Elephas maximus indicus: one gene and its partner. The protein of the gene in region 2 interacts with the protein of the main gene of each other region in a pairwise test. Links are inferred from orthologs where the notes say so. Each region holds a gene or a part of one and is shown on either strand. Other genes may lie near its edges.

What was found.
Region 1: the proteins of EML1 (region 2) and ISG20L2 interact in binary tests that used the Homo sapiens proteins (3 or more experiments, as listed by UniProt). The two-hybrid records come from large-scale screens. The link is inferred for Elephas maximus indicus from reciprocal best matches to the Homo sapiens genes EML1 and ISG20L2.

The regions. Positions count from the first base shown.
Region 1 is NC_064821.1:194,473,917-194,480,887, reverse strand, and holds the start of ISG20L2 (interferon-stimulated 20 kDa exonuclease-like 2), read left to right. Parts: upstream 1-3,966; 5' UTR 3,967-4,056; intron 4,057-4,670; 5' UTR 4,671-4,814; coding exon 4,815-5,534; intron 5,535-6,971. Other genes in the region: METTL25B (methyltransferase-like protein 25B), read right to left, coding at 203-265, 783-975, 1,137-1,261, 3,261-3,371. UniProt on the Homo sapiens protein: 3'-> 5'-exoribonuclease involved in ribosome biogenesis in the processing of the 12S pre-rRNA. Displays a strong specificity for a 3'-end containing a free hydroxyl group.
Region 2 is NC_064828.1:113,576,138-113,583,809, forward strand, and holds the start of EML1 (echinoderm microtubule-associated protein-like 1), read right to left. Parts: upstream 3,003-7,672; 5' UTR 2,886-3,002; coding exon 2,819-2,885; intron 1-2,818. UniProt on the Homo sapiens protein: Modulates the assembly and organization of the microtubule cytoskeleton, and probably plays a role in regulating the orientation of the mitotic spindle and the orientation of the plane of cell division.

The DNA.
Region 1 (6,971 bases), on a different chromosome or scaffold from region 2:
TGTTCAGCGACCTCTCCTGTCACCTTCCCTATCAGTGACCTGCACACCCGGGTCCCAGGCCCCACAGAAGGTTTAAATTCTGCCCTCCTTAAATTCTCCACTCCTCCTTAGCACCTGACTCCCTAGACCTGTGGCCTGGTATCCTGCCTTCCCACTTTTCTATCTCCGTGACTCAGAACAGTATGTTAGGCTTCTGGCTCACCTGGCCTGAGCCCACGTCCACAACCTGGGTACAGCCTGTGAGGTCACTCAGCTTCTTCACCAGCTGAAAAAAGAGGGAGCAAAGGTCTTTTGGCCATTGTTCCTTGACTCCTAGGGCAAACACCCATAATGAGGGTGGAGGAGCTGAAGATGACAGAGGAAGATGGGTTCAGAGGGATCCAAGGAAGAGGCAAGAGATACAGAAACCAAAATGGGGGGTGAGGGGAGGGTGGATGCTGACACCAGGTTCAGGCCACTCTCCTTGCTCCCCTTGGGCCAGGGATTCAACCTCCCGCACAGACCAAGGAAGAAGCGCCCTGCTGTGAACCCTCCATGAGCAGGTTGTGGAAATGTTGAGAAGAGGAGTAAGACAGTGATCCAGATAAAGCCACCAGTCAACCCAGTAAGAGGTTGAAAAAAAATACCAACATCAAGATATGATTATAGTATGTCTGCCCCAAGGCAGGGGCCTTGTAGGGCCTTTGGTCCTATATGTGAGGGAAGGGGCAACATATTTGTACCCTATGGGCTTAACGAGTCCCAGGGCTCCCAGACACCACCTGTGTCCCCAGCCATCTCACCTCTCCCAGCCTCCGGATCTCATGCTGCTTCTTGGGCCTGACATGTTTCCGGAACAGAGGCGTCAGTCGGGAGCTCTGGCTGGGGTTCTCCAGGAACTCCGAAGGGGTCTGGAACCCAGGTGTCCGAGTAAAAGCCAGGGCATAGGCTGTGGACTTCAGGGCCAACAGGGTGAGTGGCCACACCGACCTGTACCTGAGATAGCCCAGCCAGGCCACCAATGAAGTCCTGTCACAGCCTCAGTGTAGCAGTTTACAACCCAGGGGGCCAAGGAAGCCCTTGTGAGACTCTGAACAATGGTTAGCCGCAGGGCTCAGTGCCAAAGTCACCCAGGACAGGGCCCCTCTTGTCCATACCTGACCACCTCTCCTTCCCCAGGCAGCCCCAGCAACAGTGTGGCCAGCTGTGGGGGGTTCAATCTATCCAGTGCTTCCTGCCATGAGCAAGGGAGTGTGCTCCACAGGTTGTCTGTGAAAAATTCCTGCAGGAGAAGGGGAGAAGCAATCAGCAGACTACTACCACTTCTAGTTTTCCCTCCCCACTTATAATTCCCCACCTTATCTCCTGCCACTTCCCAGCACTGCTGCTACACAGGGCCACTGGCTACAACCAGCAAGTACCTCTACTCATCCAACTCACCTCTTGCTCCAGCCATACCACTGTTTCTCTCAGTAGCTGACCTATCCTTCCTCGGTGCTGAGATTGCATTCTGAATACACCTCTCCATTTAGGAGGTTCCCCTACTTATATGTCTATTTTCTCCACTCAACTGAATTTCTTAAAGGCAAGAATGGTGTCTTCTATCCACATCTGTGTCCCCAGCGCTAACTGCAGTAACTAACACACAGTGCACGCACTATCACTTAGTAACCTATTATATATGCCAGATCCTTGTGTACGTTTATTCATTCGTTTGTTCAACAAATTCTGGAGCTTTGATTATGCACCAGGCACTGTTCTAGGCTCAGGGGATACAACAATGAAACAGACAAGATTACTGCTCTTGTTGAGTTTACATAAAAAAAAAGTTTCAGATCATATTAAATGCTAATGAAATAGTAACGTAACGGAGAAGGTGCGAGAGGACTAGATAGGGTGATGAGGGAAGACACGTGAATGAACAGGAATCAGCCATGTAAAGAAAATGCAGGTGTTAGCAAACACTTATGTAATACTTTAATATGTCAGCCACTGTTCTAAACGTTCTACATGTATTAATACATTTCATCCTCAAAACCATATAAGGTAGGTACTATTATTATCCCCCATTTTACAGGTCAGGAAACTGAGGCACAGCAATTAAGTAGCTTCCCTAAATAAAAAAGTAAGTAACAGAGCTAAGATTTGAAACCAGTTTGACTCCAACATCCTTGCTCTTCGCTTCAGTCTGGAGTAAAAGCATCCTAGGCAGAGAAGTAAGTGCAAAGGCCCAGATGGCTGCCATACCCTGGAAGAAAAATCAGGCCAGTGTGCATGAAGCACGGTGAACGTGGGAGACGATGAAATACGATGGGGATGAAGAGGCAGCAGGGGCTAGATCATGTCAGGCTTTACAGCTACATTTTTAAAGAGATCCATCTGTCTGCTCTGTGAATTGGTTATGGAGGGGCAGAAGTAAACACAGAGCAGTTAGGAAGCTATTGTTGGAGTCCAGGGGAGAAATGATGGTGGTTTGTCCCAGGGTGGTAGCAATGGAGATGGAGAAAAGTGGATGAACTTGATATCTGCTCTGGGGGTTAAGTCAACAGGACCTGCTGAAGGGTCGGATTGTGGATCAGTGAAAGAGCTGAATCAAGGATGACTTCTGGGTTTGGGGTGTGTAACAATTGTTACACATTATCTCATTTATTCTTCATAGTGATCCCTCAGACAGAGGTCCATTTTAGAGCTGAGGAAACCAGAAAAAAAAAATCCAAACCCACTGCCGCCGAGTCAATTCCGACTCATAGTGACCCTGTAGGACAGAGTGGGACTGCCCCATAGAGTTTCCGAGGAGCACCTGGTGGATTCGAACTGCTGGCCTCTTGGTTAGCTGCCGTAGCAACCACTAGGCCACGAGGAAATCGGGGTTAGGAATAAAAACAAAAATGCCTAAGGCTAAAACAGTAGTGGAGGCAGGATTCTAGTCTAGTCTAATTCCAAAGCCAGAAACTGTCCACTATACCACAAAAACAATTTATTCAAAGCGCGGATGAATGTGAGGTCAACGTGACTGCCACACAGCTCCTATGTTCATGCGTTTTATTACCTTGGATTTGGGAAGGTTTGAAAAACCTAGGTATTAGGGATACTCATGTCAGCTGAAAAAGGGGTCACCCCAGTTTTAACCCTTTCGTGTACAGACAAAAAATTGAAACTCATAGAAGAAACGAGATCGGAGACCAACTCTCTAGAGTCTCTCTCTGTCGTGGACACCTAGCCAACCACACCCGACCAACACCTGCCCCAGGAGCACTCCGCCCACACCCCCATGGCCTCACGATGATGTAGGCATCCAGGATGGAACGGTAGAGCGCCAGGACACGGGTGAGTTTCACAGCTAGCTGCCTCCTCTCCTCCAGAGAGAGGTCCCGAGCGGAAACGCCCGGCATCCTGGGGTCCAGTCGGAGCGGGATGCGAGAAGGCGGTGAGAGATCCACGGTCACTACCACGCCAGTACAGGGCCCAGGCTCGGCTCAGCTCTGCGGGCGGGACGGGACGCAAAGGTTTTGGGTCAGGCGCCCGACGTTGCCTTTCTCAGATCCCATTCTGGGGCTGAAGATACGAGGTGCCCCCTAACGTCACAGGTCGTGACGTCTCAAAGCGCGAAGGTATCAGCGTCGGAGACAGGTGGGCGGGGGCGACAGCGTAATGACGACACAGAGGCGTGTTGCGGAGCCACGCCTACGAAGGGGCGGGCCAAGTTCCAGATCCCGCCCCTTCCCATACACGCTCCTCCTCTCCAGGAAGTAAGGCCCGGGACCCTCAGCACGCCAGTTCTTGTTCGTCGGGGCTTCCTTACACCTTCGAGTTGTACCTCCACGGGGCTAGAGGGGCTGGGGAGCGCATCCCGCCCCCGCCTCCACCCACACCGCCCCCGCCGCCGCCGCCGCTGCCGATCCTCACACACTCCGAATCCCTGGCTTCGCTTCCGGAGGTGGGGGCGCTGCGGGCGCGCGGGCGCCGGGCCCCAGCCCGTTCCAACCCGCGCGCCTGCCGTCCCGGGCCTCGTCGACGCGCGCCGACTTCCGCATCCGGCTCCGGACGCTTCCGGTCTTAGGGAAGACCATCTGGGAGGTAGGTATGTGGGCGCTGGGCCGATCTCCGTGGCGGGGGACTGTCAAAGTGTGCTCGCCGGGGTGGGCTCCCCCGAACCTAATTCCCCCCGCCCCTGCTAGTATATAGCGTGAAGGGTCCTTTCTTGGGAAAAGAAAAGACTTGGGTGAGGTGCATGTGGATTTTCCCCCACCTGGAGCCGAGGAAAAGGGGTGCCTAGATTTGTATCTCTATTCATGGGGCCTGCCCTGGGGTACTTGGGTAATCTAGAGGTCATCTATGCCATGCTGCTCCCTACTTTCGAGGATACTTGGACGTTCCCTACCTGGGCGAAGCTTTATAAAGCTCTTCTATTCTGGTTTTCCACATTCACAGAGAATTTGAGTTATGATGGGCCCTCCAGCCCCCTCAGTTTGCAATAAGACCAAGACCAAAAGAGGGGGAATGACTTTCCTAAGACCCTATGGTTAGTGAATGTGGGGTTTTGCTAGATTCCAGGCTTCCTGACTCAGATCAATGCTCCTTCCATCGTTTCACATTGCAGTGCTATTCCTCCTCTATCTCAGAGGTTGCCCTGATGTATAACTTTCCTCCCTTGAGTCCTGCAGAGATCTGTCATATCTCATTTCTTCTAGGTCTGCGGGCTCGATTACCAGGATTCACTTTATTCCCCAGGCTGTACTACAAACCTCCAGATGCCGGTCTATGGAATTCAGCAGAGAATGAGTCCTCTGTTCTCCTTTCATCTGTAAGCTGCTCTCCTAGCATCCACTGTCCTCATGTCTACCTTACTCCTCAATCTGGATTTTGGGGAACCTCCTCCCAAAAAGGCTTTAGAGGGGAATTCCAAGCATCAAAATTTTGTCAAGAAGCGGCGGTTCTTGGAACAGAAAGGTTTTCTGAATAAGAAAAAGCAGCCCCCTAGCAGGGTGGCTAGGTTGCACTCAGACCCCCCAAAGAAAGAGGAGACTGCTAAGGTAGGTGGCACTTGGAGGGTCCCTCCCCTCCCAAAAAAGAAAAAGACAGCTGCCTCCAGCAGTGGATCAGAGCAGTCCCTGGACAAAAAAGCTACAGTGCCTTGGTTGACCCCTGCCCCTTCACAGAAGGGTCATTCTACTGCAGCTAAAGTAGATTTGCTGGGGGAGTTCCAGAGTGCCCTTCCAAAGATTAAGACCCACCTAACCTGCTCCCAGAAAAAGCATCCCCAGAAGACTGCCTCACAGAATTCCACTCAAGCTCACTCAGAGAATAACTGCTCCGGAGTAGTCCAGGAGATGCCAAGGAAGATGGTGGCAGTTGACTGTGAGATGGTGGGCACAGGGCCCAAGGGACATGTCAGTTCCTTGGCTCGATGTAGCATTGTCAACTACAATGGTGACGTGCTTTATGATGAGTACATCCTTCCCCCCTGCCGCATTGTGGACTACCGGACCAGATGGAGTGGGATCCGGAAGCAGCACATGGTGAATGCTACACCCTTCAAGATTGCTCGGAGCCAGGTGAGGGGCCTGGGGCATGTGGCTGTCCGTAAGATGGGGGGGAGGGGTCCCAATCATTTTTCAGCAAAAGATATCACTGGGGAAGGCACCAAAGGATTGTAGAAGGTGGGAGAGAGGTATTGGATGGTAAAGAAGGTTTCCTGTTAGGGTGAGGAGTGATGAAAGACAGGAAGGTTATAGTTAGCCGGTGTAACAGACTTCATTTGTTGTTGTTGTTAGCTGCCTGTTGAGCTGGCCCCGGACTCAGCAGTTCCATGCACAACAGAATGAAACACTCCCCAATCCTGTGCCATCCCCATGATTGTTGTGATGCGTAGGGTTTTCATTGACTGATTATCAGAATAGATTTCATTAGCCACCTACTTTAGGTCCCAAATGGAATCCTGATCTGGGCAACTGGGAATCTGCACAGAGAAATAACAGCTAGTGACAAAACTGGACAGAGCAGCAGACATGAGTGCCCAGTGAAAGGGCTGAATTTGGGACTGCCTGGTAGCTGGAGTCTAGGGTTGAGAGTGGAGAGATGAGTCTAGGGTTGAGAGTGGAGAGATGGAGAGGGCTTCCTAGCCTGAGGGAAGTGTTGGTGGCAGGTGAAGGTAGAAAGTTAACAGAAGGAACTGGGGCATATTTGTATAGCTGCGCCAATTGGCCTGCATTGAAGGAGATGAAAGACACATAAAAAAGAAAAAAGGCCTGTGCCGGATGCTGGGAGCATCACAAATTAACAGGAAAGGAAGAGGAAGAGGATGGGGGAGAAAGGGGAGCCTGCTGACGATAGAAGGCCTCCAGAGGGCGCCCTTGGTCCACTTCTTTGCTAATTCAACTCCATTTTCTTTGCCATCTCTAGACACGCTTTCTTCTGATAATTCTTTATATACCAGAATAGTCAGTTAGGGAAGGTTCATCAGAGGTGAAGCGGCTGGTTTTTAGAAAGGACTTGGAATGAAAAGCCGAAGAACATCTTGTGCACAGGGGGCACGGCTTGAGCAAAGGCTCAGGAGGGGCAGAAAACAGGGTGGGTCGGAGACAACAAACCCGCTCACCTTTCTCGAGGATTGTGTGTTGAGGGGAGCCCTGATGGCAGTAGATTTGGTCTGGCATGTGTTGAGGTTAAAAGAGGGTGGTAGTGAACTGTAGGTGAAGTCATTAGCAACCCATTAACTAACTGGTTGAACTACATCCAGTTTTTATTATAAAGCACTTCCACAATCCCCAAGTTGGGGTTGTGAGACGAAGCTACATTCAGATGAGCCTGGCCCTTTCAGAGGGGTCCCATTGGGAGGCCAAGCACTTACTCCAGGACTGTTGCTCTTGTTCACAACCTGTGTGGAACCTCACGGCATATTCTTTGATTGTCCCTACAGGTAGTATATCCTTATGTTTAAAGTTTGTGAAATATTAAGATGTTACTTGCTTCCAAACCAGTGTGACCAAGGC
Region 2 (7,672 bases):
GTGGTGGCCGTGCATGAGGTGCACTGGCCAGGAATCGAACCTGGGTCTCCACACGGGAGGTGAGAATTTTACCACAGAACCACCACTGCCCTCATCTAGTTCAGTGTACAGAGTTTTAAATACTTGGAAGAAAAAAACGCCACACAAATTTTCTCGTTAACCAAGGCAGCCACTTTCTAGTTACATGAAAATGGACAGCCTTCTCAGGAGACTAGATCCTACCTCAGTTTACACTTAGTGTTCACTATAAATTAAGTCAGAGGGATAGCAAGAAAGAAAGTCTAAAAGGAAGACATAAATTTCATTCATTGGAACGAAGTTTTCTCTTTCTCTCTTCTCATGTATTATACCATCTCATATCTTTATCTCAACAGATGGAATGTAACAGTAATAAAAAAACAAAACAAAACAGTAATAGCCATCCAAATGGTAAGCATGGATTGTTATTTTCTGAAACTCATATATAATTATGACTTTTTTCATTCCTAGCACTATCAAAACCACAGAGCTTGCACATCACAGGAAAATGCCTGAGTTCATATTTCATGCTGATGTCGTCTTGCCATTGTAATGTAAATCTCTAACTAAAAAAAAGCAACGTAGCTAATGAAATATCCAAATGGTTAATTTAGTTCTTGGTGAGATGGTGATTCTGTGACCTAATGCTTTAATTGAATCATCATAGTAATTAACTGAATTGTATTCATTTATACTTTCACTTAATGGAAGCCTCTTAAAATGAATAATTTCACATCAAAACATCTGTTACCTAAGACATCATCAGTTAACATTCATTTCTGCCCCATAGGCTATTCTCGCTTTAAACTTCATTCAGAAGGCAACCCAAAAATAATAAGCACCGAGCTAAGAGCTTTGGGAGAAAAGTAACTCAACAGTTACAATTTACTTGTGTTTTTAAGTGATCTTACTGTTTGATTCTGGAGTGATTTTTCTATGACCAGGCTCCAAAACAACTCTTCAAATAAAAATATCTACACTCATTTTCATATCCTTAGCCAAACTGTCAATTAATGCCCATGTATTCATTTTCTTAAAAAAACCCTTTATGCCTGGGAGTCACTTAATATAATTTTTCAGCTATATCGCTTTCACAACTAACTTAGGGAGAATTTTATCATGAACTGAAATAGGAGGCTGTGCCTAACTTTTAGATCAACAGTAGCAATTGAAACATGATTGATTATAAGTCAGTTATGGGAACTATTCAAAATTTAACTGAGGGAATCTATTCAAACTAAGGGAGAGGGAAGCAGCTCCCATGACTCTGTATTATAAGGCGTACCAGTGAACAGCAGAGTGTCAAATATCCTCCGCCTACCTTTCACACCTTCTGGGGCTCCAACTCTCAGGAGCTCTGCTTTCAGAAACTGCAGTTAAATTTGGAGAGAGTGAAAAAGTTTCTTTCATTCCCCGGAAGGAGTCATTACTAAGTTAATGAAGGCCCACACGTTGTTCATCAGAAATTTACAAGCTGCAAGTTACCACAGTATATAGGAACTCTGCCATGAAAAAGACAGATTTCACAGAGATAAAAAGATCACTATAGAGACAAGATGGATCAACACATTCTTTACTCCCTACGGTTACAGCTAATACCTCCTATTTGCAAACAGTTTTGAATAACACTTGCTCCTAAATCCCAATGCAAAATAAATTGCTCCAATTGCCGAAGTGTCTAGAATTCAAAATTACTCTTGACTGCAGCTCAGGCAAATTCTATAAATTACTTTTTTTTTTTTTTTACCTTTAACAAACTTTTGGGGCCCTTTGATGAAGCAATAAATCCAAGATATAAAATGTGTGCTTAACTTTCCTACATGAATTATCTGACATCTTGCTCTGATAAAATATGCAGTGTTCTGTGAAAATCTTTTCCAACCCGGCTAGGGACCCTAAAATCTTTCAAGTATGTAGGACTTTATATTTTTGAGAATATGCCATATCAGTATTTATGAATGTTTCCTTCCTGTTAAAAAAAAAAAAAAAAAGGCAGAAAAATCTATCATCCCGTAAAAAAAAAAAATAAGACGGAACACTTTTCAGCCCGGTCCACTTTACCTTTCCGTTCTAAAAGCTCTAGGTTGCATTTAACTGGGCTAATTTCATTAAAGTAGAACAGACTGGCTTCCGGGGGTCCCTGTGCAACAAACCCTGCGTGCATCCTCGCAGCAGTGTTTTGTTATTGATTCGTGTCCCGAGTTTTCTGGCCAGTCATTCCCAAACAGATGCGAGTTTGCGAGCAAAAACGCAACACGTTCCGGGGACCCCGAAGCTGCCGAGCCTGTGCGCCGCCCTGGGCTCCCGCCGCGCGCCCGGGGTCCGCGGGGTCCGCCCGGAGAGGAGCGGGGTGCGCCCGGAGGGGAGCGGGGTGCGCCCGGAGGGGAGCGGGGTGCGCTCGGAGGGGAGCGGGGTGCGCTCGGAGGGGAGCGGGGTGCGCCCGGGGTCCGCCCGGAGGGGCGCGGGGTGCGCCCGGGGTGCGCCCGGGGTCCGCCCGGAGGGGAGCGGGGTCAGCCCGGAGGGGAGCGGGGTCCGTCCGGGGTGCGCCCGGGGTCAGCCCGGAGGGGAGCGGGGTCTGCCCGGGGTCCCCCCGGGGTCCGCCCGGGCCCCGCGCTGCGCTCCGGCCGGGGTGAGGCGCGGCCCCGCGGCCCCAGCACAATGCGCCGCCGGCGGCGGGAACCGCGCGCCCCTCAGCAGCAACTTCGCGCGGCCTCGCCCGCGGCGCCGAGCCTCGGCCCTCGCGCCGGCCCGGCCCCGCCGCCCGCCCGCCCGCCCGCGGCCTCCGGCGCGGCGCCCTCACCGTTGCAGAACTGCAGCAGCGAGGACGTGTCATAGAGGCTGCTGTAGCTCGAGAAGCCGTCCTCCATGCTGAGGCCGCCGGCCAGCCCGCTCCGCTCCCCGGCCGCGCCGCCGCCGCTCACCCACACACTGAGCCCGGGCCGCGGCCGGCGCTGGCGCTGGGGCCGGCCCTGCTGTGGCGGCGGCTGCTGCCGGTCACCATGGCAACCCCGGGCCCGCCGCCGCCGCCGCCGCCGCCGCCGCCGCCGCGCGCTCCCCGGGCCGCGCACCGAGCGCCGGGCCACCCGCCAGGGGGCGCCGCGGCGGCGGAAGGGCCGAGCGGGAGGCGGGACGTGGCGGGGCGGGGCCGGGGCCGGCCTCCCTCTCCGCCCCCCCGGGGCCGGCCTCCCTCTCCGCCCCCTCGGCCGCCCTCTGCGCCCTGAGGGGAGGGCGAGGTGCTGGGGAGCCTCGGCCGCAGCGCCCCCCTCGGTCCCCCCGGCCGCCTTCCTCCGCCGAGCGAGGGCCGGGGGCGGGCGCGGGGACAAAGGGAGAGGCCGGGAGAGCCGCAGCCACGCGGAGGGGCGCCAGGTCCTCGCCCAGGGGGCGCAGCCCGTCGGCAGGGCGGGGCGGGGGCCTCGGCGGTGACCCCCGGCCGCCAGCAGCATGGGCCGGGCGGGGAAGTCCTCCCTGGCCCTGGGGACGGCCTGGGGTGACCCCTCCCCGGAGCCAGACCCGGCCCGCCGGCAGCTCCAGAACCAAACATGGGCAGCTGGGGAGCCTTTTCAGCTCTTTCCACCTCCGAGCAGCTCCACTTTTGGCCGCGTCCCCCGAGGCGCGCCCCTCTTTCCACTTGTTTTTCCGCTGCAGCAGGGCCTTGCCTCCGGGTTTGTAACTCGCGTCAACTATTGCTTACACGCCCAAAAAGATGCTGCTTCCTACTTCCAAAGAGGCCACCCTAATATGGGGCTGGAAACTGCCGCGGTTAAAAGCACGGTGGAAGCCCTCCAAGTTAAAACATACACGCTCTTCTTTCCCCGGAAGACCAGCCCCTCGGACGCAACTTTGTCGCACTGCAGGCTTGTTCACTTGATCCCTGCATGACCTCAGGAAATCTGTTTGTTCTATCCCAGAAAGAGGCAAAGAGTTAGGACAAATAGGAGAGGAAGAGAAACACACCCACACATACAAATACTAGATCCATCATTTGAGCTTCCCTACCCACGCTCTGAAGTAAAGATGGCGGTAACAGGTGAGGAAGCAACGTACATAAACATATATAATATTTTTTTTTATATGAATAGGGTGATCTAACCCAGGCACAGGCTCCGTCAAGAAGACGGCTGCATAACATCTGTGTTCGTTGTTGCACGATAGCCATGATTCAATTACATGTAAAAGTCCGAAAGGTTTCAAATTGGTATGAGCTTGTATAGGTTGAACACAAGTGGGTGAAAGAAGAACTGAATAAAAAGTTACTCTGAGGGAAATTCGTGGGCCTCCCTGGGGTACAGAGGAGATGGAAGCCTGTCTTCCTAGGACAGCTTTGACATCAGTGGATGGCAGGTCAGGGCCCAGGACTCTGTCACTTTTCCTGTGGCATCTTTAGTGTATGGGTTAGCAAGGACTGCAGTTAGATGCTGTGGGCAGAGGGGAGAGGTCTAAGACCCGATTCCTGTCCTAGGCAGGGACACTGAGCACAGAAAGAGGGATTGTTCGTGGGAAGAAGAAGGGAAGGAGAACATTGTGGGTGGAGGCCGAAGGGCCACAGGTGCTGTTGGCTTGGAGCAGGACAGCAGGAAGGACACTGTTAGTGATCAGTGGAAGAAAGGAGGAACAGGGCCTCTGGACAGGCCAAGAGAGCCAGCCTGATGTGAGTTGGCGGATCACATTGCAGACAAGAACTAGGGATGGGCTGAGACAAGGGCTGGGTACGAGAGGCCCGGACAGCCTGCAAGGAGTCTGAACCAGACCTGGCAGGAGATGGAGGGACCCACAGAGGTTTTCACACTGGAGCTTTCACGCCGGAGCTGAATCTGGGTGTGACCTGGCCTGCAGGGGCCAGGGTCTGGAGCAGACTAGGTCTGTCTGCAATGCTCCAGAAACAAGGCACTGGGGCTCGGACAGTAAGAGGAAAACTGTCCTTAGGACCATGTGGCTGGGTGCAAAGCATCCAGTTAGAAACGCCCTGTAGCAACTGGAGAGCTGTGGAAGCTGTCAGTAAAGAGGTGGTACCTGAACTCTCAAAAGAAGACAATGGAAAGACAGAGGAGCGGGGCAGAGCCTTGGAGAGAGAATTCTGAAGGAGCAGCCACAGAGGCAGAGAAATCTGCAGAAGGTATCTCAGAAGCCAAGGGCACGAGCGCTTCAAGGCAGTGGGAGAAATCACGAGATCCTCTGCAGAAGTGGCTGAGGTGGACAAGGCTGAGAAAGGCCCTTCCACGTGGTGGCAGAGGGCTCCCAAGTGACCTTGGCCTCTTGGCAAGGCGGTGAGTTGGAAGCTGGGTTGCTGGACATCAAAGGGAGGGTCCATTTGGCAGGAAAAGGAAATGGGGCCAAAGACAGGGCAGAGGTGGCAGGAGGGTCAGGTAAAGAGCTCCCCTGCCCAGTACAGGTGCATCTTTGCATCTCCAAGTTGAGAGCCAGGTGCTATGGACAAGGGACCATCAAGGGTGGGACTTAACACACCCAAACCCAGGTGGACAATTTTCTCTGCCTTTCTCTGTTTTCCTATCTCTCCCTCTTTACCCCCTTTATTCCAATCTTTCCATTACCCATCTGTCAGTCTGTCATACTGTGGTGGCTTGCATGTTGCTATGATGTTAGAAGCCATGCCATCGGTATTTCAGATACCAGCAGGGTCACCTATGGTGGACAGGTTGCAGCAGAGCTTCCAGACTAAAACTGACTAGGAAGAAGGGCCTGGCAATCTACTTCCAAAAATTACCCAGTGAAAACTCTGTGGATCACAATAGACAATAACTGTTTGATACAGCGCTGGAAGATGAGCCCCCTTAGCTGGAAGGTACTCAAAATAGACAGTGGCCACAACAACGGACTCCAGCATATCAACAAAAATGAAGATGGCCCAGGACCGGGTAACATTTTGTTCTATTCTACGTGGGGTCACCATGAGTTGGAGCAGACTCAGTGGCAACTAACAATTCCGGTCTTCGTGCTTTCTCTATTCCGCTTTGCAGCTTCATAATTTAGGATCTGTTGGCCAATTGGTGTAAAAAACTGATGTGCGGCATCCTTGAACTTGGAAAGGATGTGATAATCATAAACAAATTGTGAAAAGAAGGTTCTCTTTAAGAACGTTAATATTCCTAATTTGTAATGTTAAAGATATGATATTTGGTGGCCCCAACTAAGAAAGGTTAGGGAATAAAGAAGATTCCAAAATGGGAGAGGAGAAATATGTCTAAAAGTTTGGCTGTAAAACTGGGCTGGAGATTTTCTTAGGAGACTTGTTACTTCTACTGGAGACAAATGACAAAAACACAATTCAGAACTCAGTCTATTTGCTTTTGAAATGATAAAGATCATTTTTATACCCTTAACCTAGAGTATGAAACCACTATGTTTTTTCCACAAGGGTAAAAATCTTACCCCGAGGGAAAAAAAAAAAGCAAAATTTAGCATCATTACAAGGATGGGCACCTGAAGTCAATTAGATACAATCAACACAGCATTAAAAAATATCTATGGAGAAAGCTCAAGAAAAATCTCTGAAAACTTAATGAATAATGTGTGCTTTCGCTGCCCAAACATCTTAACAGGCTGTTATCTCATGCCATTTTTAGATTACTTATGGCCTGGGTCCAAAAAACTGTTGTCATTGTAATAACTGATGTGCCCTCTTTAGGACGTTGTAACCACAGCCTTCAGTGGCATTAATAGTAGCGTTTGTACAACATAGAAAAACAGAAGGAAAAAAGGAGCTCTGTAGCCTTTATTCAAAGAGAAGTAATAAAAACTAACCAGAAACGTGAGGCCTCATGCATCTGTTGTTTAATTCAACAATTCTCCAAAAATAGCTCCAGAGTGCCAGGCCCTGGGCTGGAGGCTGGGAATCCAGCCCACAGAACGCAGTGATTTCCAGACTGCAGGTGATGGCTCATTTAAAACATAAAAAACTGTGGCCATCAAGGGGATTCCAACTCATGGCGACCCCATGTGTTTCAGAATAGAACTGCACTCCATAGGGTTTTCATGGCTGTGACCTTACGGAAGCAGGTTGCCAGGCCTTTCTTCTGTGGCACTTCTGGGTCAGTTTGAACCACCAACCTTTCAGTTAGTAGCCCAGTGCTCAATCATTTGTGCTACCCAGGATGGTTCATTGGTGGTGGGTAAAATCAGTTTCAAGGGTCACAATCGGCACTTTAAAATGAAGTGGAAGAAAAGATAATTACAGTGAGTTAAACATCGTAAGAACAAGTATTTTTACTGGAAACCTGGGTCTTTATGAGTGTGCCACATTGAGATGTGGAATGTATTTCTCCCTGTAGGCCACAGTCAAAGTCTGAGAAGCACTAGGTGTGAGACAAATAATCATAGAAATGAACGAATGAAGGCAAATGGTGAAAGTGCTAGGAAACAGACAGAGGGAGAATTTCAGATTATTCTCTATAAAATGAGAGATAATCACAGGTTCTTAGCATCAATAAAGAACATTAAACATGGTCTCCAACTTGCCTGCCAATGCAGTGATCTTTTCCACAATGTCCCTGATAAATGATTGCTTAGCTCATTTCGAAGCAGAAGGACTCAAATCATTAAAAAGATTGTTTATTTTTATCCCAAATCGCCCCCTCTCTCCCCTCAATGTCCCTGCTTGATCCTTGTTTGGTAGGTCAATTTAATCTCCTTATTATCC